Linked DNA regions of Alligator mississippiensis. The protein of the gene in region 2 interacts with the protein of the main gene of each other region in a biochemical or structural test. Links are inferred from orthologs where the notes say so. Each region holds a gene or a part of one and is shown on either strand. Other genes may lie near its edges.

Evidence for each region.
Region 1: the proteins of UBE2D3 (region 2) and TRIM69 form a complex in vitro, tested with the Homo sapiens proteins (2 studies listed by BioGRID). The link is inferred for Alligator mississippiensis from reciprocal best matches to the Homo sapiens genes UBE2D3 and TRIM69.
Region 3: of the proteins of UBE2D3 (region 2) and SQSTM1, one has a biochemical effect on the other in vitro, tested with the Homo sapiens proteins (2 studies listed by BioGRID, with this or other methods). The link is inferred for Alligator mississippiensis from reciprocal best matches to the Homo sapiens genes UBE2D3 and SQSTM1.
Region 4: the proteins of UBE2D3 (region 2) and MUL1 form a complex in vitro, tested with the Homo sapiens proteins (3 studies listed by BioGRID). The link is inferred for Alligator mississippiensis from reciprocal best matches to the Homo sapiens genes UBE2D3 and MUL1.

What each region holds. Positions count from the first base shown.
Region 1 is NC_081834.1:40,909,078-40,916,315, forward strand, and holds the start of TRIM69 (E3 ubiquitin-protein ligase TRIM69), read left to right. Parts: upstream 1-4,221; 5' UTR 4,222-4,916; intron 4,917-7,238.
Region 2 is NC_081825.1:163,317,328-163,324,995, reverse strand, and holds the start of UBE2D3 (ubiquitin-conjugating enzyme E2 D3), read left to right. Parts: upstream 1-4,665; 5' UTR 4,666-4,756; intron 4,757-4,775; exon of another isoform or gene 4,776-4,856; intron 4,857-5,198; exon of another isoform or gene 5,199-5,332; 5' UTR 5,333-5,476; coding exon 5,477-5,500; intron 5,501-7,668. UniProt on the Homo sapiens protein: Accepts ubiquitin from the E1 complex and catalyzes its covalent attachment to other proteins. In vitro catalyzes 'Lys-11'-, as well as 'Lys-48'-linked polyubiquitination.
Region 3 is NC_081832.1:74,667,553-74,675,486, reverse strand, and holds the start of SQSTM1 (sequestosome-1), read right to left. Parts: upstream 3,018-7,934; 5' UTR 2,931-3,017; coding exon 2,735-2,930; intron 2,624-2,734; coding exon 2,528-2,623; intron 1,523-2,527; coding exon 1,305-1,522; intron 1,150-1,304; coding exon 993-1,149; intron 707-992; coding exon 617-706; intron 75-616; coding exon 1-74. UniProt on the Homo sapiens protein: Molecular adapter required for selective macroautophagy (aggrephagy) by acting as a bridge between polyubiquitinated proteins and autophagosomes.
Region 4 is NC_081836.1:5,457,896-5,465,713, forward strand, and holds the start of MUL1 (mitochondrial ubiquitin ligase activator of NFKB 1), read right to left. Parts: upstream 3,014-7,818; 5' UTR 2,940-3,013; intron 2,925-2,939; exon of another isoform or gene 2,528-2,924; 5' UTR 2,502-2,527; coding exon 2,382-2,501; intron 807-2,381; coding exon 719-806; intron 1-718. UniProt on the Homo sapiens protein: Exhibits weak E3 ubiquitin-protein ligase activity. E3 ubiquitin ligases accept ubiquitin from an E2 ubiquitin-conjugating enzyme in the form of a thioester and then directly transfer the ubiquitin to targeted substrates.

The DNA.
Region 1 (7,238 bases), on a different chromosome or scaffold from region 2:
CTTCCTCAGCCAAAGATGGTAAGTTACATGCTTTCTTTGTCTTGCTGTCAAAGAGTTCAGTACCAGACTGATCCTCACGTTGTGGAGGGGAGTGTGCAGCTTCCTGCATTAGGAAGCAAGGGCCAGAGGATGAAGAACAGAGACGGTGTCCTCCCACTAGATTTGTAGATGTTTGTGGTGTACTTTGGGAGTGTGATCACCCTAACATTTATACCTAACAATATCTAGTCCTTCAAGAGCAGGGGTGGGCAGTTATTAGGGCCCAAGGGCCATGTAGAAAGTTCTTGGTGAGCTGTCATAGACCAGATCAGCACCCTCCTCTTCCCAACTGCAACAGTTCACAGCTCCCTGTGTGGCCTGGATTGGAATCTGGGGGTGGCTGGGGCTGGGATCTTGGTGCAGTGATGCAGCAGAGCCAGGACAGTCTCGCAAACTACTCCCCACATGGCCCTACAACAGGCATGGGTTCTGTGGGCAGGGGCATGCATGCAGGGAATGTATGGCTGTTCTGCCCTGGCCCTATGCTGCCACCGCCCTATGATCCTGGGGTCTCTGTGGAGACCAGCCAGGACCCTTGTGGGTAGGGCAGGATGGGAGCTAGGACTGGCCACACATGCCATGGCCTGGGCTGGGCAGGACCAAGGGACCCATCGTGAGCCAGACAGATTCCCTTGGTGGGCCACATCTGACCCACCGGCTGTATTTTGCCCACCCGTTCTAGAGACTCCTCAGTTCTCCAGGAACTAGAGAAAGCAGCCCTTTGAAACGAGATGAATTTGCAAAGCACGTCATAGGCCATATTCCAGTGTATTGCAGACTGCATTGGAGATAGGAAATCATTACAGTGGTTGAGTGAGAGGGGCTAGCCCCATATCTGTTAGCCCTTTGAATACCAGTAAGGTTTAGTATGCAGCAGAGAAAGGGTAGAAGAGCAGCTGAAGCATCTTGCTTTGGTTCCAGAAGACATAAGTTCAGGTGTCCCTAGACTCATGGTGAATGCTGTCCTGAGTTGATCTAGCTGTAAAGGGGGTATGGGTATGTGGTTCTGGGAGGGTGGGGGGTAGTAAAAGCAGCTGGATGTGAAGCTGCCTTTACTACATAACCACTAGTATGGAAGGAAGCTATAGAAATTGGTGTATTTTAAGCATATTTCAGACTCCCCATTAGGCTTGGGTAGACTTAATTTGTGTGAAGGTTCCACAAATATGTGATTTGGAATATACTGCTAGAGGGATCAGTGCTTACATTGAGGAATTCAAACTGATCTCAAAAGCTACAGCTGGTTACAGAATAAGACTCCTGAGGTATAACTGCTCCTAGAACTTTCTCTAATTTTTTGGTAGTAGTATTAGGATCTATTAGGACTTGTAAGGAGAGAGAGCAACCTTGGGACACTTGTCTATATGTAAACCTAAAAGTGGGAATTCCTTGGGGACCCTTTTCTGGGCATGATTCTAATTCAGTAATAGGGAGGATGGCCGCTTGGAGGATGGACTAGAGAATGCAGAAACAATTTGTGGGCAACATCAAACTAGAAAAGTTTGCCAGCTGTCTGGAGAATCAGATCAGAATTCAGAATAATCTTGATAAATTGGAGAAATGGTCAGAAATCATGGTGAAATTCAATAAAGGTACCTGCAAAGTGCCACAGTTAGAAATCAACTGGGGAGTGAACACTTGCTGAAGCAGGAAGGAATCTGGGAAGTTGCATGAAATAAACTTCTGAGTCAATGATGCTGTTGCAAAAAAGCAACTGTAATAGTTAGACCAGGGAGATAACGGGTTTTACTCAGAACATGGGAGCTGGCGAACTGCACTGTTTTGGGTAGCACTCTCAAAGAAAGATGTAAACAAATGAAGGATATTCTAGCAATAAGAATTATGAGGGGTTTAGAAAATATGACCTTTGAGGAAGTTGAAGGTCTAGAAAAGAAGGCTGAATAGGGACATGTCTTGTAGAATGTAAAAGGCTGCTGAAGAGTCTGGTGATGAATTGTTCATCCTGTTGTTTTGGGAAAGGACAAAAAAGTGTAGCTTAACTTGCAGCAAAGTAGATTTATAGTAGATGTGGGGGGTGGATACTAATGAAAACAGGGACATGCTGGAACAAGCTACACATAGGCGGTGGAAGAACAGGTCAAACAAACATTTGGGGATTCTCTCAGTATGGTGGATAAGATGGCCTCTTGCCATTCCTCCAGCGTAGGCCTTTTGGGATTCTAGATTATTGTGGCTTGGGTTTTGGAGTCTTTCCAGTTCCTTGTCCTCTAAAATAACTGTAATTACTCTAAGTTTTATTTTCCTCACTAATACATTTTATCTCTTTACCTTTTCAGGTCTTGAAGTTGTGCCTTGCTTTGCACTCTGAAATTGGCTTCAGCCCTAACCTGCAGTCCTGTCACCTTGCACCCAACTACTTGATATTTAAAATGAATGCATATAGCTTTGTAGTTAATACTGAATTATTGTTTCTGAAGTGGGAGGGGGGTGAGGGTCTTCTTGAAGTGAAAATTCGCTGGCATAAACTCTGATCTGGCACTTAGTTGTCTAGAGCTAAGAATTTGGGCCTTTTGCCCAAATTCACTGAGCTCTCTGAAGAGAGAGAGAAGCACTTGGTTACTAACATAAGTGCATTGTAGACATTAGATACCTTAGTTAGGTTAAAGAACACCTGCAAATACAATACAGGCTTCTTGCTACTTTAAATGATCAGTTACTTTAAAGTAAATCTTGAGATCAAGATCAAAATCCCTGGATTTTATTTGCAATTTATCCATTCTGTGCCTAAGGCATAACAGCAGAACTTATGTTGCAGACTTGAAAGTTGTACTGTCCTGAATCTACTTACCTGCATTGGGGATGGGGTAGGTGTATGCTTAATTGCAGCACATTTTGTCTTGTACATTTTAATAAAATATTGTGAAATATGTTATTTATTGAGTTAGCGGCATCTTGTAGTCTCACGGCACTGAATGCAGTGTGGTGCTCAAACCCTTTAAACTAGTGGTTCCCCACCTTGTTAAAACTAGGCACTCTTTTTAAAAAAAAAGCCAGTTCTTGGCTTTTGCTCAGTTTTTGACTACAACAACAAATAATAAGGGAATTCTTCTGTTTCGGGGAACTTTGGAAGGACTGCAACAGGACAGAATGTTTCTGATGCTATGGATGTGTAGGTGAAGTCTCTGAGCTTCATCTTCTAAATTAGGTGTACAAAAACATGAATGCAAATTTAGAAGTCTGTTTTCCCTAGTTCCCACGTGCCACCAGAACTTGCTAGCATTTAGGCTGGAGATGCAGCAATGAAACGTTACACCTTTAGAAACAGGCCATTTCCTTTGAAAGTTTAAACAAAATGAAATCTGATGTGACCAGGAGCGGATCCAGGATTTCTGAAAACGGTGCAGGAGTAACAACGGATGCTACAGGGGTGGCTGCAACTTACACCGCAGGGATGTCTGCGCCTTCTGCTCCCAGCCTCTGCCCCCATGACTGTGGGCAGACTTCATTTTAGCCCCTAAAGCAGGTGAAAATCCCCTCTTCCCCCATCCTGTTCGAGGCAGTCTCTTTCTGCTTCCCCCTTCCCCACAACTCTCCCACTGCCACTGCTGCATTCTCCACTGCTCAGGGAGCTGCAGAGGCAGCCAGGCTGAGCAGGACCTGGGCTCAGCCAGAGAGGGGGCAGTGGCAACAGCCTGGCTGGAGCAGGTGCAGGCAGGGGGATCCCTGTCCATCCCTGCTGCCCCTGTCCCCCACCCCCAGCTGGGCCCAGCCCTGACACAGCAGGCAAGAACAGCTCGGGCTTCTCACCTCCAACAGTGGGAAAAGGTGCCATTGCACTTCCCACCTACCTGCCCCTTGAACATGACATTTCTAATGAGGTGAAGCTCTGGAAAAGCTTGTTCTCATTAAGCTTACATTTGGGTGATTAAATTGAGCTTGAGGTTCCCCTTCAGTTATTTCATACAGGGATGTCAAACTCACTTCGGGCTCTGAGATGTATCTGGCCTGTGGGGTCCCTTGCAGGCTGGACTTGGTCTTGGTCATGGGGCAACAGTGACAGCAGCCACTGTGGGCATGGCAGCGCTGGTGGTCATTGCAGTGATGGTGGAGACAGTGGCTGCAGGCAAGGCAGTCACTTGCAGTCATAGAGGCTGGCAAGGTGGCTGCAGGCAGCCCATGGCTGTGTCAGACAGCCCCCACTCACTCCATATCCACTGAGGACCTAGGGGTCAGGATTTGGTGCCAGGCTACATCCCCCTCCTAGTCATGCCCAGCAGGCCAGGTATAGCAGCTGTATGTTTTCCACCCCTGATTTAATGGCAGGAGCACTGAAATACTTCTGAAGGACAATGTGAAGCCAGCATTATTGTTACAGTATTGCCAGTCTCTCTAGCTGACCTTCCTATATAATCTTCTGACTTTCCTGATGCCCCTAGATGAGCTGAGTTTTGTACAGCACTTTTAAGATGTTAATTGTTGGCAAAGCATTATCTTAGTTCCCTTAGCCTCTCCCCTGTCAGCAGGCCCTGCTTGTTGGAGCCCCGCGCTAGAGGAAAGGGCAGGGGCAGCACAGCGCACGCTAACTGCCGCTGTGCCTCTTGTCAGCTGCCACCTCCGTCTCAAACAGCCACGTCCGCTGCTGAATGGCCACTGGTCTCCTTCCAGATCACAACCGCATCCTCTGGATCTATCAGACCAGTGGCCATCCTCTTCCAGCCTCCAGGTCTTTTACTGCTGCCCCTGCCCCCGGGCTGTGACACCCCCCCCCGGTCCTTGCCTCCATGCTGCCCGGTTCCAGAACCTTCCCCCAGCCGCTTTCCGGTGGCATGTCTCAGTAACGGCCCCCTCCACCTCCTGCGTCCTCACCGCAGACACACGGGCCTGGCCCCAGGCTCGCTGAGGCCTGTCACCTATGGGTAAGAGCTCCGCCATGGGCTCGCTTAGCCTCGCCCCAGGGTTGGCCGGGACCTGCGCGGGGGAGCATTTACAGAAGTCTGCGTGTGCTTGGGGGGCGTAGGTGCCGGCAGGGGGTGTGCACTGTGAGTTACGATGCCTTTGCAAGGGGGGTGATAGGTGTGCTTTGGGTATGTGTAGAGCAGAGCTGCTGGATGTTGGCCAGTGTCTGGCTCTGGGCTGTCTGACGCTCCCTTTAGCTTTATGCCCAGCAGCTCTGCACGCTGTTGCTGTCTCCTTCACTACGATGTACCGCTGTGAATTGAAGCTTAGCACAGGAGGGGAGGGAGCACAGAGAAGCCGCCTTGATTCTGGCTGCTTTTCCACCCTGCGGCCAAAGCGTCGTGGTGTGACCTGCAGGAAGGCTCAGAGTCGTTGTCACGGTTGATGCACCTGCTGCCATGGGCAGAAGATCAGACCTTGCAGGGCATCTGCCTCCTCCCTTTCCAGTGTGTTTCAGACAGAAAATCCTACACAAGACCAGGCAGGGAAGAAAAATGCAGCCCAATAAGCTGTCATAGGGGTGAGGCATTATAAGGAAAAGAGAAGGGCTAGCTGGAGGGGGGGCACGCGGGTTTCTTGTGTGAGCTTTCACCGAGCCGAGGACAGGAATGACTGAGGGCCCAGTACCTTCACTGTGAAACTCAGCGCAGGACTATTTCTTTATATTTAAAAGCGCGCACGCGTGTGTGTGTGTGTGTGTGTGTGTGTGTGTGTGTTTTTACATAAAAAAAAAATGTCCTGAAGCGTTAAGGATTCAAAGAATCCCATGTGACCAGGAGTATTCAGTACATTTCTGGTTCCACATGTTTGTTGTGGCAGTTCCTCAAAAGGCAATAAAAGCTTACTACTGCTTTGTGGTAGGGAGACTGCTCCTTTAATTCAGGTGGCTGTGACTTGGATTTGCAGTGCTGAAGCTTTAGGGTTCAATTACCAGTGTGGCATGGGAGGGCTTCTTACAGTCATTTAGATCATTTATTAGGGCAGGGATTCCCAAACTGTGGCTGAAGATTGCATCAGTCTAGTTTTAGGACAAAGGTGCATGGTGGTCTGCAATCAATTTTGAGAGCTGACAGTGATTATTAGTCCAGAAAGTTTGGGAGGCTCTAGATTAGGGCAACCAAGATACAAAATGTAGCCAGGTAAAATATAAGTACAGGTTTTGATTTTCAAATAAGACACTTGAATTTTGGGTGCCCAGGGTGAAGGTGAGGGTAGTATGTGAGACTGGGTCTTCAAGAGCAGTGGTTTTCAAGCTTTATAAACTCAAAGCATCTAGGGTGGCCATCATAGAGGACATTCCAGTTTTCTGCTAGTCTGTCCTCTGTCCTCTATTGCTATGAAACCGGATACCTTTACGTCCTCTATTTTTCTGTTGAAGAGAGGGGCCTCAATGGAGGGGCCTCTCTTTTCTTGAAGAGAAAAGTAGAGGGCATAAAGGCATCCGGCTGTGTATCAATAGAGGACAACCAGACTGTCCTCTATGATGGTGTCACAGGCTAGCTGGGCACCGTGACTGTATCAATTCTATCACAGGCCAACTGGGCACTGCGAGGGTATCAGCCACTGGGCTGTTTGGTTCAGTTTCGGATCAAGGAGGCAAAGTTGGGAGTGAAATAAAGGCAAATTTATTATAGCTCTCACACACAACAGTTAACAGAAAGATAAATATGATAAGCAGATAATGCAGTATTAAACAGCTAATAGTAAATAATAACAACAGATAGTAACAACAGATAGAAAGATCAATCTGTCGCAGGCCAGCTGGGCACTGTGGGGGTATCAGCCACTGGGCTGTTTAAAACAACAGATAGACAGACATGGGTTGGCAACTTATTGATAGTCTCTCAATGCCAGGTGATTCCAGCAAAGTCAGGCGTCCCTGATCGATGCTGTTGGAGGGATTACCAGGGAAGATCCCTTGATCAGGATCTGATCCTCACTCACACCAGGAGTCTGGGGTCCGGGCATGGAACAACAATGACCATTCTGTTCCCTCCTTCCTACTGGTCACCTGATGCACGCACTTTTTATACCTAGTCTTATGCTAATCTGTTGGCTTTAGAGCCACTCACAATCTTACCCTCTAGCTGTTACCCTATGGGATTGAAAGGTGTTAAAAATTATCATAAAAGGTTACTACCCAGGCCTGGGTTTATCCAATAAGACAATTACAATGCAGCACCTTTAGGTTTGAAATTGACACTGCTCCGCCTAAGCCCAACCCCTTTTAGGTTTCCCTGAATATGCTTTCTTGGGATGTGCTTTCCTGGAATGTGTTGGGT
Region 2 (7,668 bases):
ATAAAACAGATACATTATCCCTACATTAAAACAAGCCCAATCAGTTGCTGGGTACTCCATGCTGTGTATTTAGTGATGTTTCTTTAACATTTTCTGCCATATTTCTGGTCCTTTGACACAAGAGTTGTTTTCTAAACTCAGAAAATCTTTTAGCAGGAACTGGAATTTTCTGGAATTTTGGATAAAAATAAATCAAGAAAAGACTAGTTGAGTGATCTAGTGTGACAAACCCATCTTCTTGTTGTGTTTTGCAGCATTTTTATTCTATCAACAATTTTCCATAACAAACTCTGGATGTCTGAACCAACACTGTTGCAAGCCTATTCTGTTGTTCTGTGGCTTCTACTATTAAGTGGACATATTTTCTGTCTAAACTTCCCTTTTTTAGCAGTGCTACAAGGGCCTGAAGCTACATTGGAACTAGAAGCAGCCATCCACATTACCGTGGTCGAGAAGGCACTCAGTTTTCATTCACTACACTCAGTTGCCTTTTGATCCCTTCTAAACTTTTCATTCCACAGGTGTTAATGACCCTCTCTTCTTTTCAATAGTCTTGATGTTCTACCAATCAAGCTAGCTTTTGTTCTGCAGTTCTGCTGTATGTTAGCTGCTTCTGGTAATGAAGCTCCTGTTTCACAGCAGTGCAAATTGTTTTTAACTTATTCCTATGAGTTGTATTTGTTTTTTCTTCAATCTTAAACAGAATAATACAGCCCTAGGCCCCTAGCATAGTAGTAAAGCTTCTAGTTTATTTTTAACTGTAGAAAAATATGTATTGTGTTATATGGGTTGATGCACCTCACCATCTATAACCCCTTTTCAAAATCCACACGTGGTAGGATGGTACAAGAAAAATCTCTTGAGCAGGTACTCAGGAACTCCTTTATGATGAGCTAGAGGCCTCTAAGCCACCTGTCATATTAAAGCCATTACCTATTTGTTTTATTGTTTATGGCAGAGGATAGGGGAGGGAATCAAAGGTTATTTCTAGATTTAATAGCAGATTTAATAACAATTACAGCAGGCTGAAAAGGCATATAGGGACTAGCCAAATTACATGAATAACAATCCCACTACCCAACAGCTTATTAAGACTGTCTTTTAATTGAATCCAGAAATTGTAACTATTCCCACTAGCATGTTTTTATTGCTGCCTGTCATCAAATGTCTTATGTCAAAGGTCTGCAACCACTCACCTGTGCTAAGTACAAATCTATATTAAGCCTCACCCTGTAAACCATTACCTGTGAGTGCTCTCACTATTATCAATTAAATACTAAATATTAATTATTTTAAAAGTTAACAAAAGTACAGTTTCCTTATTAGTCTGAAGGGTAAATTAATTGGGAGGGCGGGAAAGGGAAGGACATGTTTTCAGTCTGAATAATCTTGTATAAATAAAAATATTCATGATTTTAGTGCATTTAAATTATCAAGCATTGTGTTAACAGTGTTTTACATTACATTTTTTTTAAATTGTGGCTGTTAGTTATAGGTTTAATTCACCATGTACATTGTGTGCTCAGTAATTATTTTATTAAACATTCTCAAGATTTCATTCCATGCACTTGATTTGAAAACATATGTTTTTAATATAAATACTGAAATAAGAAATTTAAGTAGCATGACTTTTTTCATGTTCCATTTTCACTCTTTACTATGTTACATAAAGATTAACAACGTAAGTCTGCTATCCCAAATAGGGCTATTCAGAAGCCAGTCAACTTTCAGAAAGGGACCATTTTATAATTTTTCATGAAAAATGTGATTGCTTGTGTGTGGTCCAACAGCCAATTGAAATAGTTTGGCAGAGTCATTAAGACTTAGGATCATAGGAAAACAGGGCTGGAAGGGACCTCACGAGGTCATCTAGTGTAGCCCCTTGGTCAAAGCAGGACCCCACTTACCCTTGGAGTCAAAAAAGGGTGGGAAACACATGAAGTCTGAAAATTAATTAAGAGGGACTGTGGGGCACTTCAGTCACAACTGTCTACCTCCTCTAAGGAATGACAATGTGCTTTAATGGTTTAAAATAGCAGTTGGCAACCTTTTTGGGCTGCGGGCCAAAACAACACATCTTGGATCACATGCAGGTAGGTGAGTGCTAGGACCTGACCACTGCCACTGTTCCTCCCTGCTGTAGCAAGGAAGAAGCCTCTCCCACCAAGTGTTACTGATGCCCCATGTCTACGAGCTGGGCTCTGCCGCCCAGATCCAGCCTGTAGGCCACTGGTTGCCAACCCCTGGCTTAGAAAGCTGTCAACACTAATAAAAGACTGGTTCAGGTCAGTTCTGTGGAATATCGTAATTATATGGTATAGAGCAGGGGATGTTAACCAGGGGTACACGTACCCCTCAGGGTACTTGGGAAGACCCCAGGGGGTACATGGCAGTGGCGCAGAGAAGCAGGGGTACTTGGGAAGCATGGCAGCGGACTTCCTAATACCCCCGCTTCTCTGTGCTGCCATCACATACCCTGGAAGTGCGCCGCTACGTGCTGCTCATTGACCAGCAGTGGGGCTCCAGCCCCCCCCCCTCAACTGGCCGCAGGGGGACACCCCCCTGCCCATCCAGGGGGTACAATCCATGAGGGGTACCCACCAGAAGGGGTACACTCCTTAAAAAAAAGTTGAAAACCACTGGTATAGAGACTGATTTAAAAGTGGGATAACAGGAATGATATGAGACCTACACTGGGCATGGAAAATAGTTATCATACAAGATACATATCCTCTGCAACAAGTAGAATCTTTCTTATGTTTGACAGTACTATTACAGTAATACTAAAGTCAACACAACAAAAACAAGCTCAGATTCATAAAATAATATGGCTGCTTGGCTTTGTTTCTCAATTATGTATCCTTGCTATTTCTCAAGACTATATTTACTAGCGGTGTGCAAAGCAGATAGCATTCAATTCGGATTCTGATTCTGCCAGATTCGGGGGACAGTGATTTGGTTCACTGATTCAGATCACCATCCCGATTTGATTTGGCCCAATCTGAAGATTCAATTCTGATTTGGAGAATCAGCGATTAGGCCATATACAGTTTTGTGTTTTTATATACGTTTTATACGTACCTCAAGTACTAGGCGCAGCTTGTGAATGCCAAGATGGTGGGGCGGATGGAGTGTCCCATGGAACCGTGTGGGGGGGTCCCACACATGCTCAGAGGTAGTCCACTTCCAGGTCCACCGCCAAGCGCGTGGGGGACCTTGCCGTGCCCTCCCGGCTCAGTGATCCGCCACAGGGGACCCTGGGTGCCCCCTTAGACCCAGGAGTCACCAGCTGCCGAGCCAGGGGGCCGGGGGGGTCCCCTGTGTGCTCCACAGCGAACCTGGAAGTGTACCGGATGTACTTCTGGTCCACTTAAGAGTCTGCTGCCAACCACATGGGGGACCCCTCCTGTGGGATGCTCCATCCACCTCACCATCTCAGTGTTCAATACCTGCACCTGGTACCTCAAGGTATGTAGAAAAAACATATAAAGCTGTATCTGTGGCCAAATAATTGAATCTCTCCAAATCAAATCAGAGGCTTCTGATTCAATTCTGAGAGATTAAAGGGTCTCCTGATTCGATTCAGAGATTCGGTCGCTGAATCAGGCCGAATCGAATCAGCCACCAAAGCTTCGCATAGCCCTACTATTTATTAATAACTAAACCTCTCTTCATTGCCTTGAAAGAGTCCCCTACTCTAAACTTTCCCGTTGTTTGTCTTTACTTTCTTACGTGGTTGCTGCCTTACCTAAGTACCTTGAGGCTCCTCCTTTGAGATCTAATCATAACTAAGCTTGCACAAAGGAAATTACACAATTCAGAGCTGAAAACACCTTCGTTAATGGATTTTTGTTTTTCCAGTTGCCTACACCAAGAATTGAGAGACTGTGACAGAGCACCACCACTGATGAAGCCAGATAATCAATGGGTGTGGAAACCCCCTTCCCCAAAAGAGTCCCACAAGTTTTGACGCATCCTCTGGATCTGCAGCATCCCATGGATCTAACGTTGAAAACCATGGTGCTGCCTGTAGAACAGCACTAGGTGAGCCAGTGTATCTCTGGGTTTATCATCATTATTCAGACAAGGTCCTTTGGGCCATTCTGCCATCTGTTATTAAACCAAACAGTTGGAAAAATTCTTCTTTGCACGCTTTTGGATACAAACTCCTTTTGTCAGGCTGAGGGAGCATCTGGTTACAACCTCTCTCTCTCAAACATGGAAGTTATAGCAATTCAGCATTTTTGGCATTTCTCTGGTGAGGCTGTAAAAAAATAAGCCACACCTCAAGCATCACGTCTTCTCTAGTCCCGAGGCCTTGTGCGTGCCTCCTTCTACCTTAAAGTCCCATTTCTGGCTTCCTGCCTAGTCTGGAGCCCCTGCCTCGCCACGTGTCTCACACAATTCACTAGTAAATCACGCACTAAGTTGAGAGCGGACACACGTGCGGGCAAAGCAATTCCCAGGCCACATATACGAGGAACCCGCCCTCAGGTTAGTACCTGAGACCATACGACCGCTCTGCAGGTGGCACCTCCCCGTTTGAACTAATCCACTTCCGTCCCCCCTCATCCTTCCGCCTGACTCTCTCGCTCGGAAAAGCACTCTGGCGGAGGGATACGAGCACGCCGCTCCCAACGCAGATCCGGCAGCGGGCGCCATTTTGGGCTCCCGCACACGCTGACGCACGCACGCACGCAGGGGGTGGGGCCTAGCTCGTGGCGGCACGCGGGGAGCCGGGACGAGCCTTCGCTCCGTGAGTGTCTCAAGAGTCGCGGAGCCGATCTCCCCCTCCCCCTCCCCCAGGGAGCCGGGACTGCCCCTCCCGTACAAGCTTCTTCCTGCGAGGGGTGGAGGTACGACCCCCCCTCTTCCCCTCGGCCAGGTCAAGGCAGGGCAGCGCTGGGCAGGGACAGGAGCGCGGGCGCTCGCTCTCGCGAGACCTCCTTCCCCGCCCCCCATGAGCGTGCGAACAGCGCGTCACCCGCGCCCTTGTGGGTCTGCGTGCTCGGAGCCTCACATTCCCCCCGCGCGTGCGCAAAGTCCTCCGCCCGCGGCGGCGGTTGGCCCCCCCCCGCCGTTTCCCCCCCCCCATTCTGAGGGGGGGCGTTGGCGGCCACTGCTGGGCCCGCCCCGCGGCGGGGAGGGGCGGGAGGGGGGGCGGTGCCTGCACGAGCCGTGGCCCCTCCCGCTCCCCCTCCCCCTCCTTTCGGCCTTGCACCGGCGGCGGGTGCAGCGGCTGCACTCGCGCTCTCGTGCCGGGTCGGGCTGGGCAAGGCAGGGCCGGGCCGGCCTCACCACTGCTTCTCTCGCGGGCGCGTTGTGTCCGCAGCGGCGGGAGGGGCTGCGCCGTGCGGGCGCCCCTGGCTGTTTCCGGAGGAAGGAGAAGCGGCCGCGTCACCCAGCGCGAGCCCGGCGGCGGCGCGGAGCATAAGCGGAGGCGGAGGCAGGCCCGGCGGCGGCACCCGCACCCACAATGGCGCTGAAACGCATCAACAAGGTGAGGAGCGGCCGGGCCGGGCGAGAGGCTGCGGCTTTGTCTCGGTCCCGGGAGGGGGGCTGGCGCCGATGTCGCTGCGGCGACTCCGGGGCTCGACGGAGGTGTCGGCAGCAATTCCCCTTGGCCGGCCCCTCGTTGAGGCCACGGCATCTCCCCCCACCCGTTTGGGTCCCATTTTACAGGGTGGGGCCGTTTTCTGTGGGCTCCGGCTCTTCCGTGGCCGGCGGGGCCTGTACCCCGTGCGACTCGCCCTTCGCTTCTGGCCTGTAACTTCTTTCCCGCATTGTAAGATGGCGGCGGGTTCGCCCCGTTCAGGCTCTTTCCGGGATCTCTGGCTTTCTGCAATAACATGACACGCACACACACCATGCACACGCACGCCCGGCCGCTGTGGCGCGGCAGCTGCGGTACCCGGGCACTGCTGGCTGTTCTGCTCCCCCAACAACCCCGCTCTGGCCTGGCCTGTGTTCCTCGCCTTGGAAGAGCCTGCGCTGCCTTCACAAGGGGCGGAAGTGTTTGTGTGCAGTACGGAGGATGGCATTGCTCAATCCGGCTGGGTGGAGTGATATACGTGTGTGTATAAATATTTTTTAACAGCTAATGCGGAAAAAAAAGTCATAGGGCCATATGTTTAAATCACTTCCAGAGAAAAAGTTTTAGTGGCACAGTGGGATTTAGGGAGCTCTGTGATGCTCTCCTGTTTCAGGGATGTTCTTGTGCAGTGCAGCAGCCAAGTTCCCAAATGAGGTATCCCATGATTGAAGCAGGATGGTTTTAAAATATGCTAAATTTTGGGGTGGGGAGGCAGAAATATTTGCTCCTCCTCATTTTGAGCCTGCCAAGAAGGTAGAAAATCATAGTATCCTGAATATTCTGGAAGCCTTTTCTTGGGCACTTCTCAAGTACTATAGTGCTGTCATTATTTGATGTTACACATCATAATAGTGGTGTCTTGATTGACTAGTTTGACTAAAATAAGGACAAATGAAGCTTGTATCCTATACCTCGCATCTAATGTTGAATAAAGCCCTTAAAAATGTAAAAGCTCTTAAAATCACTGCAAGTAGAAAGTGTGGACTTGTATTACAGCTACAGTATTTAAATAATTTCAGAAAAACAATTCCTGGTGAATCTGCCATCAAAACTTGTTCCCCTTGCATTAGTGGATATTATTAAAACAGGCTAAGGGACTCCCTGGTGTGCTTTGTCATCAACTTGCAGTAAAATGCATCTGAAACTCAGGCGTCTGTTCACAAGAATAATTTATGGTCAGGTGTATGCCAAGGCAGGCTCTCAAATGTGTAGCAGATCTGATATTTAAAACATTTAAAAAAATAAAACATAACTTTGTTTCAAGAACTCTATGTAGATTATAAGCTTTGTGGAGCAGGGACTGTCAGCTACTCAGGTCAGTGTCTTGTTCTTGGTTGGTTTTTTCCACTACTGGAATCGGTTATACAATATCCAAGGCCACTGTTTAGGACTTTTAGTTTTGGTATAACCAGACTTAAGTTATGAGGTATACCTGTAAAGTGATGTTTTGTTTGCATTTTTTACTTTTGTTTTTAAGATTCTCTATCTCAGAAAGTTAAAGTTTATAGCAGGGCTGTTGTGCTTCTTGGGCTTCTGTTGGGCTGACACATCAATTGCTCTGACTGCAACACAGCCAGAGTCCCTGGGTTCCCCCTCCTTTCTCCATCTCCTGCTTCCTATCCCTGCCCCAGGCGGTGGGGCAGTGCAGTTTGGCTTGGGGAGCTGAGGGTGAACCTGGTGCCATGTGAGTGCACAGTGCAGCTGTGGGGAGGGTTCACCTGAGTAGGTGCATGGTGCAGTGGTGGGGAGGAAGGGGGGAAACATCTATGTAGCATGTGACCCAGGGGACCTGTGGTTGACTCATGCGGCCCCCAGTACCTCAGAAGTTGGTCAGCCTGGTTTATAAGTATCCAGTTATCCAGGTACTAAGACTGCACGCTGCTTTCACCAAAAGCAGTGCTTTCCAATACAAATGGCTCAGGTTTGACAATAAAGTGTAGCAAAAAGAGTTTCTTAATGAGAATGATATGAATTAAGGATCTGCTTCACTACCCACCAGAGCCAGAGATCGGTGTTGTGTCATTGGAAAAGTGGAATCTCCAGACCTTGAAACTCAGTGCTTCCTTATACCCTTC
Region 3 (7,934 bases), on a different chromosome or scaffold from region 2:
CTTGGAGCTAGGGCAGGTGGGGGTCACTTTGCTTCTTTGTCCTCCGTGTTCCACATCAATATCTACCTCAATGCCTAAGAAACCAGGCAGAGGGAAAAGCAATCAGTAAGTTAGCATACAAGCTACAGACTTGGAAGTCCCCTGAAAGATAGCACATTCATTGGAATCTAGTTATTCTGAACTCAAACAGCAAGTTATCATTTTGTTTGACATTTCTCATCTGCAGGGGATTTAAAAATTTAAAAAAGAAAGCTTTCAGTGTGCTTTTATGTTAAGTGAAGCACATGCCAGCCATTCCTGTGCCAGGAAAAAGCTGCTCTCCATTCTCATTTAAAAGGATGAGCAAGCAGCTGTTACATGCACTAACACAGGAGTTAGATGCAGCCTTAAGTCACCTAGTTAGCTCAAGGTTCTTCCCAGTTAAATGCTATCATTTTACCACTGTGTAGTATACTTCTGCAAGAAAGGACACCCTTGGGTCCTTATGGGGAGACTGGAGCCAGAAATGGCTCGGATGTCTTCTAGAGCAGAGGCATGCCACTGTTCCTCTTGGTACAAGATAGGAGCAAGCCCCAACACTGGATTTGAGAACTGCGAGTTAAAAAAAGTCACTTACCCAGGGGACTCAGAAAGGCTGCAACACTCTCCCCGACATTCTTTAGGAAGGTGACATTGGGGTCCTGAGGCTGGCTGTTAGTAGAGGGCTCTAAAAACAAAAAAAACAACTTCTGTTAATGCAAGACAGCAGGTAGGTGCCAAACGCACACTTTCCTCAAGGGAATGAAAAAGCCGGGTCTTGGCAGGCTTAGACAACCCATTCCACCCACCATCCAAGGGAAGTGCAATTCAAGCAGGTTTGCATTCGAAATGGAGACCTAGCGCTTCCTCCCCACTCCCATCCAACACAGACTCCAGCCCACTCCACAGCAGCAACAACTTATCAAACCTTTACTAGTCCGAGCACTTCATTCAGCAGAGCATTCCCTTCTTACCTTGCTCAGGGGCTGGATTTTCCGGTGCCGTACTGGCTTGCTCCTGCCCAGAGTTCTGGCACGGAGCTGAAGGAGTTGGATACCCCCAGCTATGCATCCAGGCAAAGGGAGGAGCACCGTGCCTCATCTTACGTAGCCAGCGACCTCGTGGGAACCACTGAAAGAAGTTGCAGTGTCATTTGACCCCATACTTGGATTACATCCTGGACACAAGTCACACAACAGCATGCAACTACATGCAGTATCTGGAATTGCAAACTCCTCTGGACACCCCCTGCACCAGTCCCTCTCCACAGCAGAAACACTGCTCACCTCAAACGGACTCTGGAACATGACCATGTTGTGCTCCTTATGGAGGCCTTTTCCCTCACAGGTGCTGCACAGGTCATAGTCTGGACAGACAGTGCACTTGAACCTAGCGCCCACCACCGGTCCCTCGCAGCCATCGCAGATGACGTTGGGATGCACCACATTTGGGGGCTGCTCCTGGCTGCACTGTGGGCGATGTTCACGCCTGCACTCCTTTTTCTCTAAAGAGTGAGAGTTTCTACGTTACAAGGAAGCTGCCAGGTTATTTTAAGCCTTTAGGAAACAAGACTCAGCAAAGCTTTCTACATTTGGAGTTCATTAGTACACGGACCACACGAGCCGAATGTGTCCACGATGCCAGCTTATGGGTCATTTGCATTACGCACGCCCTCAACAATGCTCGGGTATCTGGGGACCAGCCAGCAGCAAGCACAGAGCTGGGGAAGAAACGCAACGCTGAAGAGGGCAACATGAAACAAAGCCAGAAAGACTAAGTCAAGAAAGCGTACATCCTCCTTGTGGAGACACTTTTTTGGACAGGATTGTGTCACTGGACACGGTCCACGCTGCACTGAGGAAGAAGCTGCCCTTGCCCCGCTAGCTTGTATGGGTATTACTTGTATTGCTAGTTTCTAGCACTGCTAAACAATCTAATTTTAGCAGATTACGTGCCCCCAAGGTTTCTCTCTCTGAAATAGGTGAACATCAGAGTTATATTATTATCCAGAGAAACATGAAATAATAATCAGTATTATTATTAACCATAGTTTGAAGACAGCGCTCAACTGGGAGGAGGTTCTCCATTTACTTTTGCAGAAAGCTAAACTCGGTTTTGTTTCTTTTTTTCAGTTTTCTGGACTTAAGGGGCCCAAAAAGTTTTTGGGGCTTCACATTTCCAAATGACACTGCTTTCCCCTGGCGAGGTATTTGTTCCCTCCCGAAAGAGGCAAGTCTCGCTCCCCCTTTGAGGCTCCCGCGCGTCTCAAATCGCCGCGCTAGATCTACCGTCCAGCCCCACCGAGCCGTGCCCGGAGGCTGCAGCCTCCACAGCCACGACACCTGCCAAGCGTCTGGATCCACCGTCGCCCGGCAGTTGTTCGCGGGAAGAGGAGGCACATGGGCAGCCCCGCGCTGACTGAGTCGGGGTCCGGCTGCATCCGGCGCGCCCACGACACGCCCTATGTTTCCAGGCTTCTCTCGAGAAGAGGGGGGGAAAAAGAAGTTACCTTTAATGTAGACGCGGAAGATGCCGTCCTTCACGTAGGGCCAGGCCAGCTCCAGCTCCTCGTCGCTGGAGAAGGCGATCATGTCCCCGTCCTCATCTGCGAGAGAGAAACCCAGTGAGCGACCCCCGCGGGCGGCCAGGCCCCTCCGCCCGGGCCCCCGGCCCTCCCCGGCCCGGCCCGGCCCGGCGCGAGGGGTCACTCACGCACCGCGGTAGTGCAGGCGGCAGGCCGCGCCGGCGCCGGGCCGCAGCAGCACGGGGAAGAGCTCGGCCAGGCGGTCGCGCAGCGGCTGGTAGCGCAGCGGGGGGCGCAGGGCCAGGCGCCGGATCTCGCGCACCGCCTCCTCCTTGCCCAGCAGGTAGGCCTTCACCGTCACCGCCGCCGCCGCCGCCGCCGCCGCCATCGCCTCCAACTCCGCCTCCGCCTGTGGCGCAGCAACAAGGCCCCGCAGCACCGACTGTAACCACCCGCCCCGAGCCGGCCGCGAGCAGCGCACACTGCGGGCAGGCCGCCGCCGCGCCGCCTTATAGCGCCGGGGGCGGGGCCTGCGCGGCCACGCCCCCTCGGGCCAGCCCCCGCACCGCCCGCCCGCCCGGGGGCAGTAGCGGGGAGCGGCCGGGCGGGGTGGCTTCGCCGGGTCCCAGCCTGGGCGCGGGGGGCCGGGGCCGGGGCCGGGGCCGGGGCCGGGGCTCTGCGACAGGGAAACAGCGCACAAAGGCACGGGCCGCGCGTGCCCCGGCCATGGTGGAGCAGTCACCATCTGCCCGCGGGCACCACTGCCAGCACGGGCAGAGCCTCTCTGGGGGGGGCACGTGCCCCTCCACACCTCCCAGTGCATACAGGCGGACAGATTCACATCAGCAGAAGGCAACCGGACTGTCCTCTACAATGGCCACCCTACGCCTCATGCCGGTGCTGGGGGCAGCTGGAGAATTTCGCCAAAGGGGCGCACAGGGTGAGGGGCAAACGGCCCCCACTTGTGTCCCGTTGTCTCCTGCCTCGCCGCCCCACGCGGCCCCCACTTGTGTCCCATTCTTGTCTCTTGCCTCGCCGCCCCACGTGGCCCCCACTTGTGTCCCGTTCTTGTCTCTTGCCTCGCCGCCCCACGTGGCCCCCACTTGTGTCCCGTTCTTGTCTCTTGCCTCGCCGCCCCACGTGGCCCCCACTTGTGTCCCGTTGTCTCCTGCCTCACCGCCCCACGTGGCCCCCACTTGTGTCCCGTTGTCTCCTGCCTTGCCGCGCCACGTGGCCCCCACTTGTGTCCCATTCTTGTCTCTTGCCTCGCCGCCCCACGTGGCCCCCACTTGTGTCCCGTTGTCTCCTGCCTCGCCGCCCCACGCGGCCCCCACTTGTGTCCCATTCTTGTCTCTTGCCTCGCCGCCCCACGTGGCCCCCACTTGTGTCCCGTTGTCTCCTGCCTCGCCGTCCCACGCGGTCCCCACTTGTGTCCCGTTGTCTCCTGCCTCGCCGCCCCACGCGGCCCCCACTTGTGTCCCGTTGTCTCCTGCCTCGCCGCCCCACGCGGCCCCCACTTGTGTCCCGTTCTTGTCTCCTGCCTCGCTGCCCCACGCGGTCCCCACTTGTGTCCCGTTCTTGTCTCCTGCCTCGCCGCCCCACGCGGCCCTCACTTATGTCCCGTTCAGAATCAATCTGGAGTTCAAGGGCTGTGCTGGAGCAAGGGGAAGGGCCCTGGCAGGTGTTAAAAGCCAGCCTGCGGGGCTGCAAGGTCAAAGCTGGGTGCCGGGGAGCAGGGCAGATAGCTGGTTCATGAGGGCACTGGGAAGGGGAGAGGGGTCGTTAAGGCCTGAGGACTGGAGAGTTCGGAAGGGATCAGGTAGGTGACAAGGAGCCATGAAGACAACTGCCGGACTAGAAATGCTGGTGCCACGGCCAGGTACTTGGTTTGAAACTTTGGGTGGAGCAGAAGTGAAAGGGGTGCAGGTGCAGCGGTGCGCCCCTGGATCCGCCCTGGCAGGGGCTGCCGTGTGCTGGATCCTGCCCCTCCCCCAGCCCCTCTGCATCCTGCAGCAGCTTGCAAGACTTGGAAACCAGGACTGAGCACAGCGTTCATATGCTCTGCCTCCCGCTGCCTTTTCATCCCGGCACTCCCTTGTGTGTTCACCACTCTGTTTTCCTCCCCTCTTTCTTCCTCTCTTTCCTTCCAGCTCCCAAATTATTTTTCCTCTCTCCAGTGAAGGCCAGCAGCTTCCTGTTGGCTTAATCCTGCTCTTAAAGGACTTCTTCACTCCATGTCCCATTTCCCTGCATACTGAGAAAAACCCAACCCGTTAGCATGGAAGAATTCATAGGTTTGAGTGTTTAGAAAAAAGAAGAAGAAAAAAAGCAAGGGTGTTTGCTGTCCACAGACAGCTCTACCACAAGACAGGGCCGTGTAGGCGTGACTGTTGACATACTTGTTTCCAGCACTTCGTGTTATGGAAATATGATTCACTTCACCTGGGAGTGACTTATCAAGTCTGCAGCACTCTCCAGCAGCTGGCAGTCGGTTCTGCTATCCGGGGCTTGTCAGCAACATTAAGCCCCATTAGTGGAATGCAGCAACATCTGTCCCTCGTCCAGGAGCCTCCTACACCGAGGACTGAGTCTATTATTGATACGTCTTTTTTTTAGCAACACGGCAGCCACAAGCCTCCAGCATGGAGACACGAGTGCTGTGCTACAGCACGATACCCCAGGGCCCTTGTCACAGAGATGGTCACATCTGTACCTCCGTTCTGCCGTAAGCACAGCATCCAGCATCCTTTAGCACTGACACGGTTACACTGCTCCCATCAGGTCACAAGGCAATATTAGTCAGGACGGCTGGTTGGGAGGGCCTCCAAAATCCAGTCTGCTTTATGAAATCCAAAAGATGAGTATGTTAATTAACAAGACCTCTCCATTTGTTTAATACACGCTTTCCAAGGGTATGTCTACGTGGCAAACAGATGTTATTATAGTGCTGGTACACTGGCATTAGCTTTCATCTCACTACATAGGGTAACGCTTGCAAAGACATGGCACTGCAAACTTTAGGGTGGGTTAGCAATCCAACCATGTATCCAGCATCCCCTGCCGGCTTGTATGCTACATGAGCTTAGAATAATTCCTTAGCTAACAATCTCTCCTGAGCCTGAATTTGGAGGTTTAAAAATAGATGCTAGCATAAACATCAGTGACATTAAGGATGACGTTTTGGGGACTTTCCAGGATTGTTGGCAGCACTATTCTCAGATCAGACACAGTTGACAGGATTCTTAATCTGGTCAGACAAGAGTCCAGCTGGCAGAAGATGCTGTCTGTACCTTCCAAGTAAAATTACATAAAGACAAATCAATTAGTATCAGGTCAATGTTAATTTCCTTTCATTTTGGAGGCCCACTGCCCTGAATTTTAGTGATATCATTCTTAACCTGTGATAATGGAGAAGCTTGAGAGGCCTTGTCATTAATTAAATGGTTTTTTAAATTAAAAGATCTGATCTCTCTCGCTCTGTCTTTTAGATGGGGAAATATTTAAAAATGTCTTTTCAGACTGCAAAATATATCCGCTTTCCAGGTAAATCAATTTAGTGTTTGAAAATAAAAGCTGTCATTTTCAAATCCCAATGCCATATTTTTAGCTGAAGAATATTTATTTTTAGAGTAGTCTGAATGACTTGCTTTTTGTTTAAAGTAGCCTACGTTGGCTGATATTACTGGTTTACGTCCATGATCCCACTTGAAGCAATGAGTTAATGTTTAAACACATGAGCAGGAAAATGGTGGGATGTTTGTCATTGAACCTTTGGCCAGGTTTGTAAACACATGTACGGTGCTAACAGCGCTAGACATTGAAAACACTGTGGGGGGGAAGTAGGGACAAGTTCGTCAGTCTTTCCATTTTTCCCCTCTGTCAAATTTGGGACTGATGAAAATTGCTGGCTTGTCATGGCTAATAGACTTGTCTTCTATTTATCCATAGCATAGAGGCAGCATGGATAGCACGGGCCTCTCTGCCCAGGTCTCCCTGACAAGGTCACTCTAGTTCCTTCTGCATGTATCTTCCTTCTTTTGCCGCTATCCTGAGGCTGTGTAAGGGGCCAGTTGTAAACTGGGCTCTTATCTGCTAGGAAATGGTCTTAAAACATCCAGGTTTTTTTACAGGCACCAAACTGCCCTCCAACATCAACTGTTTTGGGCTATTACTAACCTTTAGCCAGGTGGTGCAGAGAGGGTGCTTGTTCCCTGCAGATTTGTTTAGGGCAGGGGTGGGCAAAATGTGGCCCCGGTGGCCAGATGCGGCCCACCAGGCCATTCTATCTGGCCCGCGGGGCCCCTAAAAAATTTAGAAAATTAATATTTATCTGCCCCTGGCTGCCCGTCATGCAGCCCTCGATGGCTTGCCGAAACTCAGTAAGCGGGCCTCCACCCAAAATAATTGCCTGCCCTTGGTTTAGGGGCTGGAGGCTTTCTCTCACGTTCCACAGATGCCCTGAACACTTTTGCCCCTGACTCCTTTACGCACCCACCAAGATCGGGAGGGGCACGTAGTGAAAAGCTTCAAAATGTGAGCAGTGAGAACTTGAACAGGAGTGAGCAGGGAAGGGGACCAGAAACCATGCGGGGTTTCCCCGCTCCTGCCTGCTGTGTGCTGAGTCATGCTAGGTTTGCTGTTGATGGCGTCCTGCTCCTTCCTAATTAAAATATTGCAACAAAAGCAAGCTGGCCCTGTTTGTCATCCACAACCCCCTCAAAGGGCCCCTGCTTTTTGCCTACTTCATTGTTCTGACTCACCTATATCCCATGAGCACTTTCCTTTCTCCCCCAGAGTCTCAGGAGCTTTTCCCATCGCTCCCCTTCTATCATTGCGTCACAGGAGCTGCAGTGTGTTAGTGAAGACCTTTCCTGAAGATGGTACTGAATCCACACGAGACTTCTCCACGTTCACATCGCTGAGAATCACTCGAACCTGATGAGCTGTTTTCATGTTTGCAGAGAACAAGGGAACGTTTCAGAAAAATAGACGGATGTTAGGGAGCTTCATTTATTGGTATTAAACTGTGCTTTTTTTCTATAATCCATCTTGTTCTACCCAGCCATTTCATGTGGAGGTTTACCTATATGACTGCAAAAGCTTTCATACATGGTCAGATTGTATATCTGACATATAAGCGTTGGCTTAGATTTACCAGTAATCTTTCGGGGAACAATCTGCCTTTGGACTGGACAGAACGGTGATAAAAATGGTACTTCTGTGATTCCAGTGTTGGCCGTAACATTGCAGGCTTCATAGATTCAGAGAAGTAGGGTTGGAAGGGACCTTGTAGATCATTAGGTCCGACGCCCTGCCTCAGCAGGAGGGAAAAAACAGGCTCATATGACCCCAGCCAGGTAGATGTCAAGCCTCCTCTTAAAGACCCCCAGGG
Region 4 (7,818 bases), on a different chromosome or scaffold from region 2:
CAACCACCACCCAGGAGAATAAGGCCTATTGTGTCAGATAGCAGTGGACACAAGATAGTCAGGAAAACAAAGACACTATTCTAGAGTGCCTATTAGGTTTACCTTTTAATGGATAGCCTTTATTTTGCAACTCTTCGGGATTATACAGCCCCAGAACCTGGGAACTATTTAGCGTATGTATATGCTGAAATGGAATTCCCTTACCCTTTCGAATTACATTTATTCATTCAGGGTTTCCTTAACCACACTTTGATTCAGCTACTTGAGAGATGCTTGAAAAAAGTTGGGGTTTTTTTTTTTAGGAGAATGATAAGCCAAAAGGAAGAGATTGGTATTTATATTTAGAACCCTTTAATGCAGTGCCTCCCAACCTTTTTTTGTACCAGGACCCATCTGTAAACATCCATGGCCAGTCCCAACCCAGTGCCCCTCATTCCTGACCCACTGCCTCCTGTCCCCAGTGTGTGGGGAGAAGGAGGGGAGTGTGTGTGGGGAATGGGGACCCCCAAGCAGCCCCTTGAAGGCTGGAACTCTGCCAGTGTGCAAGGGAAAAACCATGGTTTCCCACATTTTTCTCCTTTAAAGGAGAGTTCATCTTGTTGATCCATTTTTAAAGTTTGCTTTTGACCCTTTTATATATTCTTGCAATCTACTTTTGGGTCATGACTCACAGGTTGAGAAACACTGCTTTAGTGGACTAAATGCTTATGTACATTACCTTCAATAACGGCATATGGAACACATTTTCCTGGTGCTTCCCTAAGGATATTCTTCAAGTCTTGGTCTAGATTAACTTTCTTTGCTCCCTATATAAACAGAGAAACACATGGATGAGTAATTATAGACTAAAGGGGTGTTATGTACGAGATACAAGGAAGATTTCCCATTGATGACCAATTTCTGAAGATCATCAACTGGAAGGCAGAAAGGAAGATTTTGAGAAACAAAGGCCAGTTTCCTTCTGTTTCTCAATAGCTTTTTATTCCCTTTTCTTCTCCCATTTTATTATTAATATATTATATTATTAATAATAATGCCTTCTTAGTTATCGCTTTTCATCACATATCAAAGTACTCTATAAAGCAGGCAAGTGTCATCCTCTTTATTTTGCGAATGGAGCAACTGAGGCAGATTTAACACTATAAAGTGACTTGTTAAGGTCACTCAGTGGGCCAATAACACAGCTGGGAATAATATCCAGGAGCATGTCTACATGAGACACTTAATGCACAATAGATGGATTGACTGGGCATTACAGCGTCAAGGCAAAAAATGTACTATTAGGCTAAGGCACACTAGTATTAGCCTACTGTGCATCAGCCATCACGAAAAAAATGTGGGATCATACTAATACGCAGTATAGCAGCCTACTGTGCATTTATTTAGTACAGGCAGTCCTCGACTTGCGTTTCGAGTTACAATGTTTTGTACTTACAACGTTTCTAAATTGACACCCTGTTTCAACTTGCAATGCTTGATCCGATGCAATGCCATGCCAGCAAACAAGTTTGCTGTGTCGCTCATCTCCCGGGAGAACATCTGTCCAAACTTTCTTGGACACTTTAAGAAATCAGACAAGGCTCCAGAAAAGCCTGCAGCCAGAACTCCTGAGAAGGCTCCAACCAAGAGCCCTTCAAAAAGTCCAGTAAAGTCACCTCGAAGATGTCCTTCCGAATCAGTATGATTGCTATTTACAATATAAATATATTAATGTAGCTATATTACTCATCTATAATTGAGCCAGTACAAAATTCTGGGCTATTTTTGGTGGAAATAAGTTATCAGGCCTTGGTGCAGGAACCAATCCCCCATTTATAACATTGTTTGTTATGAGCAGATTGGTTCCAAGTTACGTTTCAACTTAAGATGCAGTTTTCAGGAACCGATTGTGTCATAAGTCCCAGGACGGTCTGTACTTCCTTTTACAAGCCGGCACTGTACATTAGTGAACACGCAGACGTGCCCGGAGCCTCCCAAGTCAGAGCCCTGCAGCCTGGACACTTTCTATCAGCCACTGGGAATGACTTGCATCAATGCAACTGTCTAAACAATCTCAACTCGCTGAGGTTTTTTTTCCTTCATACCAGCCAGTTTATGTTAATACTGTGAAACAGTCCCTACACCAGCGTTAACGTACGGAACGTACAAAAGGAAACACCGCTGGGAACAGAAGAAATGCTCAACTTTCCCGAACAAACCTGGGAGCTAAAAACAAACAGTTCAGACAAGCGGACACGGAGCGTTTCAGTGAAGAGATGCATCCAAATAAATGCTTGTTAAACTGCATATCCCCTCCATCCTTTTAAGATGCTGTTTTTAACACCTTAACGTATTTATCGGGAAGCTTGGCGTCAAAAAAATGAAACTTCCCCGCAACTGACCTTGAGGCTATGGGCCACTTTGGATTTCTGCCGGTAAACCGAGTACAGAATCGCCGTGAGCGCCGAACTGGTGACCAGAAAAATGACCTGGCCTGTCGAGGGGCGCCCCCCGCTCTCCATCACGAGCAGTCGGACCCCGCGGGCGCCTGTGGAGGAGGAGAAAAGGGCGGTTGCTGCCGATCAGCTCGTCGCAGACGAAACCGTGCTCGGGTCACTGGGCTTTGCGGCGGGCGCACAGACCTCGTCGGTGGGGAGCTTGCGAAGACTATGTTGACAGTGGATTTGATCCGAAAATACACGGGGCAGAACCGGGCGCCGTGTTGGGCTGGGATGTGTCCCGGCCCAGAGCATCCGACTGATCCCCCAGGCCGGAGCCGGGGGCGCCGGTTCCCGTATGCCCGGCGGCTGCGGGGTGAGACGAGCTCCGGCGGAGAAACGAGCGCCCCCGAGAGCAGCCGAGCGGCGCCCGCGCACTGCGGCCCGGCTGAGGGCAGGGGCGGGCCGCACCGCGGGGACCCGACTGCCCACGTGCGGGAGGAGGACACGGGGAACACTCACCGCTCCGCGGCCCACCCGGGCCTTCCGGGTAGGCTTTGCTTCCGGCGCCGTCTTATGACGATTGGCTGCGCTCTACCCGCGAGCAGTAGAGTCCTGAGCCAAAGCCATAGAGAGGCAGGCTAGAGGGGACCCCAGACCCCCTCCCTGCTGGGGCTGATCTGTCTGCATCCCCTGCCTACCTTGCCCCAGGGGCTCAGGGCTGGGGTCCTGCCCCTCCTGGCCCTGGCCCTGGCCCTGGCCGTGCTGGCATGGGAGAGTGCTCTGAGCGCACCCTCGGCCATCCTCTTAAGACAAATCTAGGCACCCAAAGCCAATTTTGCCGTGCGGTGTCCATATTTTAGACGTGTCAATCTATGTGTAGAGACAGATGTTCAGAGGGGCTGAGCTGCGAGTCCTGTAGAAGATTATTTGCACCTCCAAAAATGCTGAGGTCCGGTGCAGAAGCCTTCGCCTCTTGCACCAGGCCAAGGGCACGTCACACCTCCGGCCCCAGCACGTTGGAGACACGTGCCTTCCCCGCGTGCTGGGCATGGGCGCAAGGCAAGAGGCCTAGTCAGGGCATCCGTACTCAAGCACTGAACCAAGGGGCTTGGTTTTGCCCACTCCCCTTGCAGGCGTGGGGTGGAAGGGAAATGAAGAGTGCAGGGATCAGCAGCTCTTGGTTAGGAGCCTGGATGTGGCATCAGGTGCCCATGTGAGAAGGGTGAAGCGGGGAGCAGGATGAAGAAGGAAGGCAGCCATGGGCAGATGTTACTCTGGCCATCGAGCTGGATGCAGTCATGCCACACACTTCGCACCAGCATGTATCCTGCCATCCGTGTGCTGCCGTGCGCATCGTTGAAGAGGAAAAATTTCAGGGGCTCATCAAGAAGCAATCAGTCCCATTCCCTTCATTCAGCAATGCTCAACTGGGTCCTGTGGCAGCTTGGGGTGCCTGGAGATCCTTTCAAGGGTGCCGCAGGATGCCACACCATGGTAGCACGGTTAGGTGTGCAGACATGATTTCCGAGATAGACTCGGAGCTTTCAAACAGGAATCTGTCGTGTTGAAACCTTTCCGATCTGCTGGGGTCTTTCTGAGTTTTTTGCAATGGAAGAATTGCTCTGTTATTTTTCAGGCAAGGTTTTTTGAGTAGACGTGATATCTTTTATTAGCCCAACTGAGTAGTTGGAAAAAAACTTAGAAAAAAATTCTATTATTTTTCTGCAGTCAACAAACGAGTGAAAACTCAGAGCTGACATTTTCAGAGGGGGCGTCTCAAACTTATCAAGGGGTGCCTCAAGTCTTAAAAGGCTGAGAACCACCGCCTTAGTTCCACCCCAGTGCAATACTTCTCTGTGCTGCTGCCTTTGTAGCCGCTAGGTGGTGAGAGACTCACACTAATCTGAAAGGTAGAAACTAGCACTAACGTGAAAGAGCCAGGCACAACAAGGATAGGCTGTATATTTTGAAGACACCGTGGCTCCGCTGCAATTCCGGTTTTGATGTCTGGGGAAGTGGCCAGTCCCAGGAGGGGAGCGTGAAGCCAGCAGTTCTCCCATGGCCGCAGCTTTCACTAGAAGGAACTTTCACAGGGGCCCCTACCAGCCACTCTTGAATCGAAATGGCCTGGGCTGCTTGGGATGCTACTATTTTTTCTTGCTTTACAAAACATATATTTCAAAAGAAAATCAGAGCCACTCTGAATGCTCTACTTTTAACACCAAAAGAGAAAATGATGGTGCTTGTTTACCTTAATTCCGTGTTGTAAAGGTAAAGAAAGATATGCAAAATCATATTAGTAGCAATGAACCTAAACCAGTTTTTCTAATTCCTTCAAAGAGGGAATGGGGCCTGGGGTAGATCCTTTGGGATATGCACATAGGTAATTTTCAGTCCTGTTTTACTGAGGTTCCTACGCTATATCTATCACTTCAGTACAGGATCTGAGCACCCCAGGGATGCATATAAGCAGCTATTGTACTGTAGGGCCGCTTGGCAGTCCTTAGGGTATACACATCTGTCATGCAAGTGGCCGCTAGAGGTCACCATCAAGAACAGTTCAAACAGAGTGATGTCTCAAACAGTGATGTCTGGTGCTAAAGGTCCTGTGAGCCCAGCCTGCTGCTGTAGGAGAATTGCCCTGTGATATTTTCATTGTTGATACAATGCTCAGCACTCGTGGAACGCGTTTTGTCTGCAGACCTCAGAGCAAAGGAGAGAAAGTCATCGTGGGCTCTCTTTATTTGAGACAAAGTGGTTAAAAGGTGATGAGTCAAGACTTTCTGAGCCAAACAGACACAAACCTGGCCAGGAACTCTAAACCTCGTTTCCATAGGCTCCCCAGTGCCACATACATGCAATACAGAACTTACTTTCACTCTCCACTCCCATAATCTTCCCTCTGAGCTGTTTGGACTAATGGCTGAATTCTGGTTCCTAAGTACTCCCATGCTCACCTTATGCCCAGTTCCCTGGCAAAATAGGAAACATGGCCTTGATGAAGTGGATGGCAAGTGCACACATTTTTTAAAGTGAGAGTCATCACCCATTGGAGCAGTTTAGCAACAAATGCGGACATTCTCCAACAGTTAGGACCTTTAAAACTAGATTGGATATCATTGATAAAAGAGACACTTTAGTTCAGCCCTAAATGATCAGTGAAGAAGTTCTAGGTTAAAACAACAGTTTATACTGTTTAGGAAGGCAGACTAGGTGATTATAATGGTTTCCTCTGACCCCCAAATCCATATGCCTATGTGTGCTTATCAGTTCCCATGCCTTTTCTTAGTGGATAGAGGTTCTCATCACCAAAGCTTTTGTGAATAACTGATAATCTGTTGGCAACCCCACTGGAAGGGTTAGGAGGTGAAAGGGGCATAAAGATTGAGCCACTCTAGATGTTGCCTCTCCAAATCAATATAAAAGAAGTATGGGGAAAGGCATGGTGCATGCTCTGATTGGATGTGCTGCTTCTTGGGGAGTATCTACTCTCCACCTCGCCCTGTTTAAATTGGCATGGGAGGAAGAGGAGAAAGAAAGAGGGAACAGGAAAAAAATGGAAAAGGAAAGCCTGCTTCTGGCCCTGCTCTCACTCAGAAAGCCACCACATAACTAGCTTCCCAACCATGCCCAGTTCTTTCACCGTCACACCCCTTTGCTATGGAGTGTTTGCAAATCCCTGAGCAAAGTTGCGGTACAGAGCTTGGGTGAAGTTCTTCCCTGCTTGCTTTCATATCCCATGCTGTGCTTCAGAGATCTTGCTCCAGTTCCCCTCTTCTTCTGGTCAGGCCATTCAGGGGGCAGAGTCTAGAGACACTTGGGTCCCTGTGGTACCCTAGGAGCAGGAGAGCTCTGTCACTCTGTGCCCTGTGAGCTGCAGCTGTCAAAAGGGACTTCACTGGGAGATGAGCTTTGAACTTTGGTTAGATGCAAAACCTTCCTGTGCTCACTCAATAAAAGTACGCCCTGCCATTGACAGAGAGGCAGGAACAGCTACATCTAAGCCCACTGGAGAACGATGCCAGTATTCCTGGGTGAGCTTATTTTAAAGCCAGAGGCAGAAAGGGCATGAGCTGACACATAGGGCATGCAGCCCTGCCAGCTGCGGAGACACTGGCTTGAACAGAGTTAGTTACTCACTCAGCTGAGGAGCCTATAGTTTATGCCAGCACTAGCCCTGCAGCTGAGTCACAACCCAGCCCCAGGGGCAGTCACAAAAGGAGCAGTGTGAATGCAGCCTTTGCTTGGATTGTGTCTTGGATTGGGGATAACCCTGTTGTCATTGCACAATGGCCAGTGAAAAGGGTTAGCACAAGAGCTGGCGTCATCCCAGGCATGAGCTCGCCTTCTAGGCTGGTGCATCAGCAGCAAACTGAGCAGCCGCTGCAAATCCCCTGTGCTGGATTGGGATCCCCCTGGATGGCCTTTAATCCTTTCACTGCTGCCCCTGCATTATCCACAAAAGCTGGTGACCTCTGGAGTCCTCTGGTGCAGCCCATATATTACAGTACCGACAGCTTCAGAGATGCCTATAAATCACTCCTGTGTGCAGTGCCAAGACCACTCAGGGGGTGCATGCTGCCTGGATAGACCTGCAACACTTGCCGATCAGAGCTTGGGGTTAAGAGGTGCCTGGTTAGAGATACCCCCCACCACCCTGACTTAGACATGTACCATGGACTCAGAGAGAAGAGTGCTACTCAGCACATCTGGAAACAGCTGGATGGCTCCAGGAAGTTTCTTTTCCAAGGAGCAGCCAAGCCTAACCCTGCTTAGTTTATGAGATGTGACAGGATCATCGTGCTGCATGGCAGCATGTCTGACAAGCTCCAGGCTCCTGACGTTCTGTGGGACGTGAGAGGTCTGCTGAGCTGCACTGGGAAGAGCAGCCGGCAGATGGAAGCACCCAGTCCATGTTGGGGGGTGGAGATCATGTTTTGAGGGCCTGCACCAGTTCACAACTCCTCAGATCACGTCTCCTGTCCACTCCATTCAGTTGAGGCTGTGTATGGGGCTGGCAGGTGCTGGCTGGGACTGCTGAAGTGTTTTGCCACTAGCTAATTCAGTCTTTAGGTGCTGAGAGCTGAGGTGTGATTTCTAAACCACACACACACACACACACACACACACACACACACACACACACACACACACACACACACACACACTCCTTAAACACTAGCTAAATTCTATTTTTAAAGGAAACTTAACCCTTGGAGGGCTGGCGATGAGTCTGCAAACTTGTCTGCAAAGTCATGCAGCCCCAGGACTACATTACAAGCCCTCAGCAAGCTGCCTAAGCCTTCCTGTAGTGAAAGGCTTGAATTTCTACCCAAGACTCCTCTTCCTGAAGTCCCAGCCATCCACCCAAAAACCCTCCCTCCAGCTGCCCAACCCT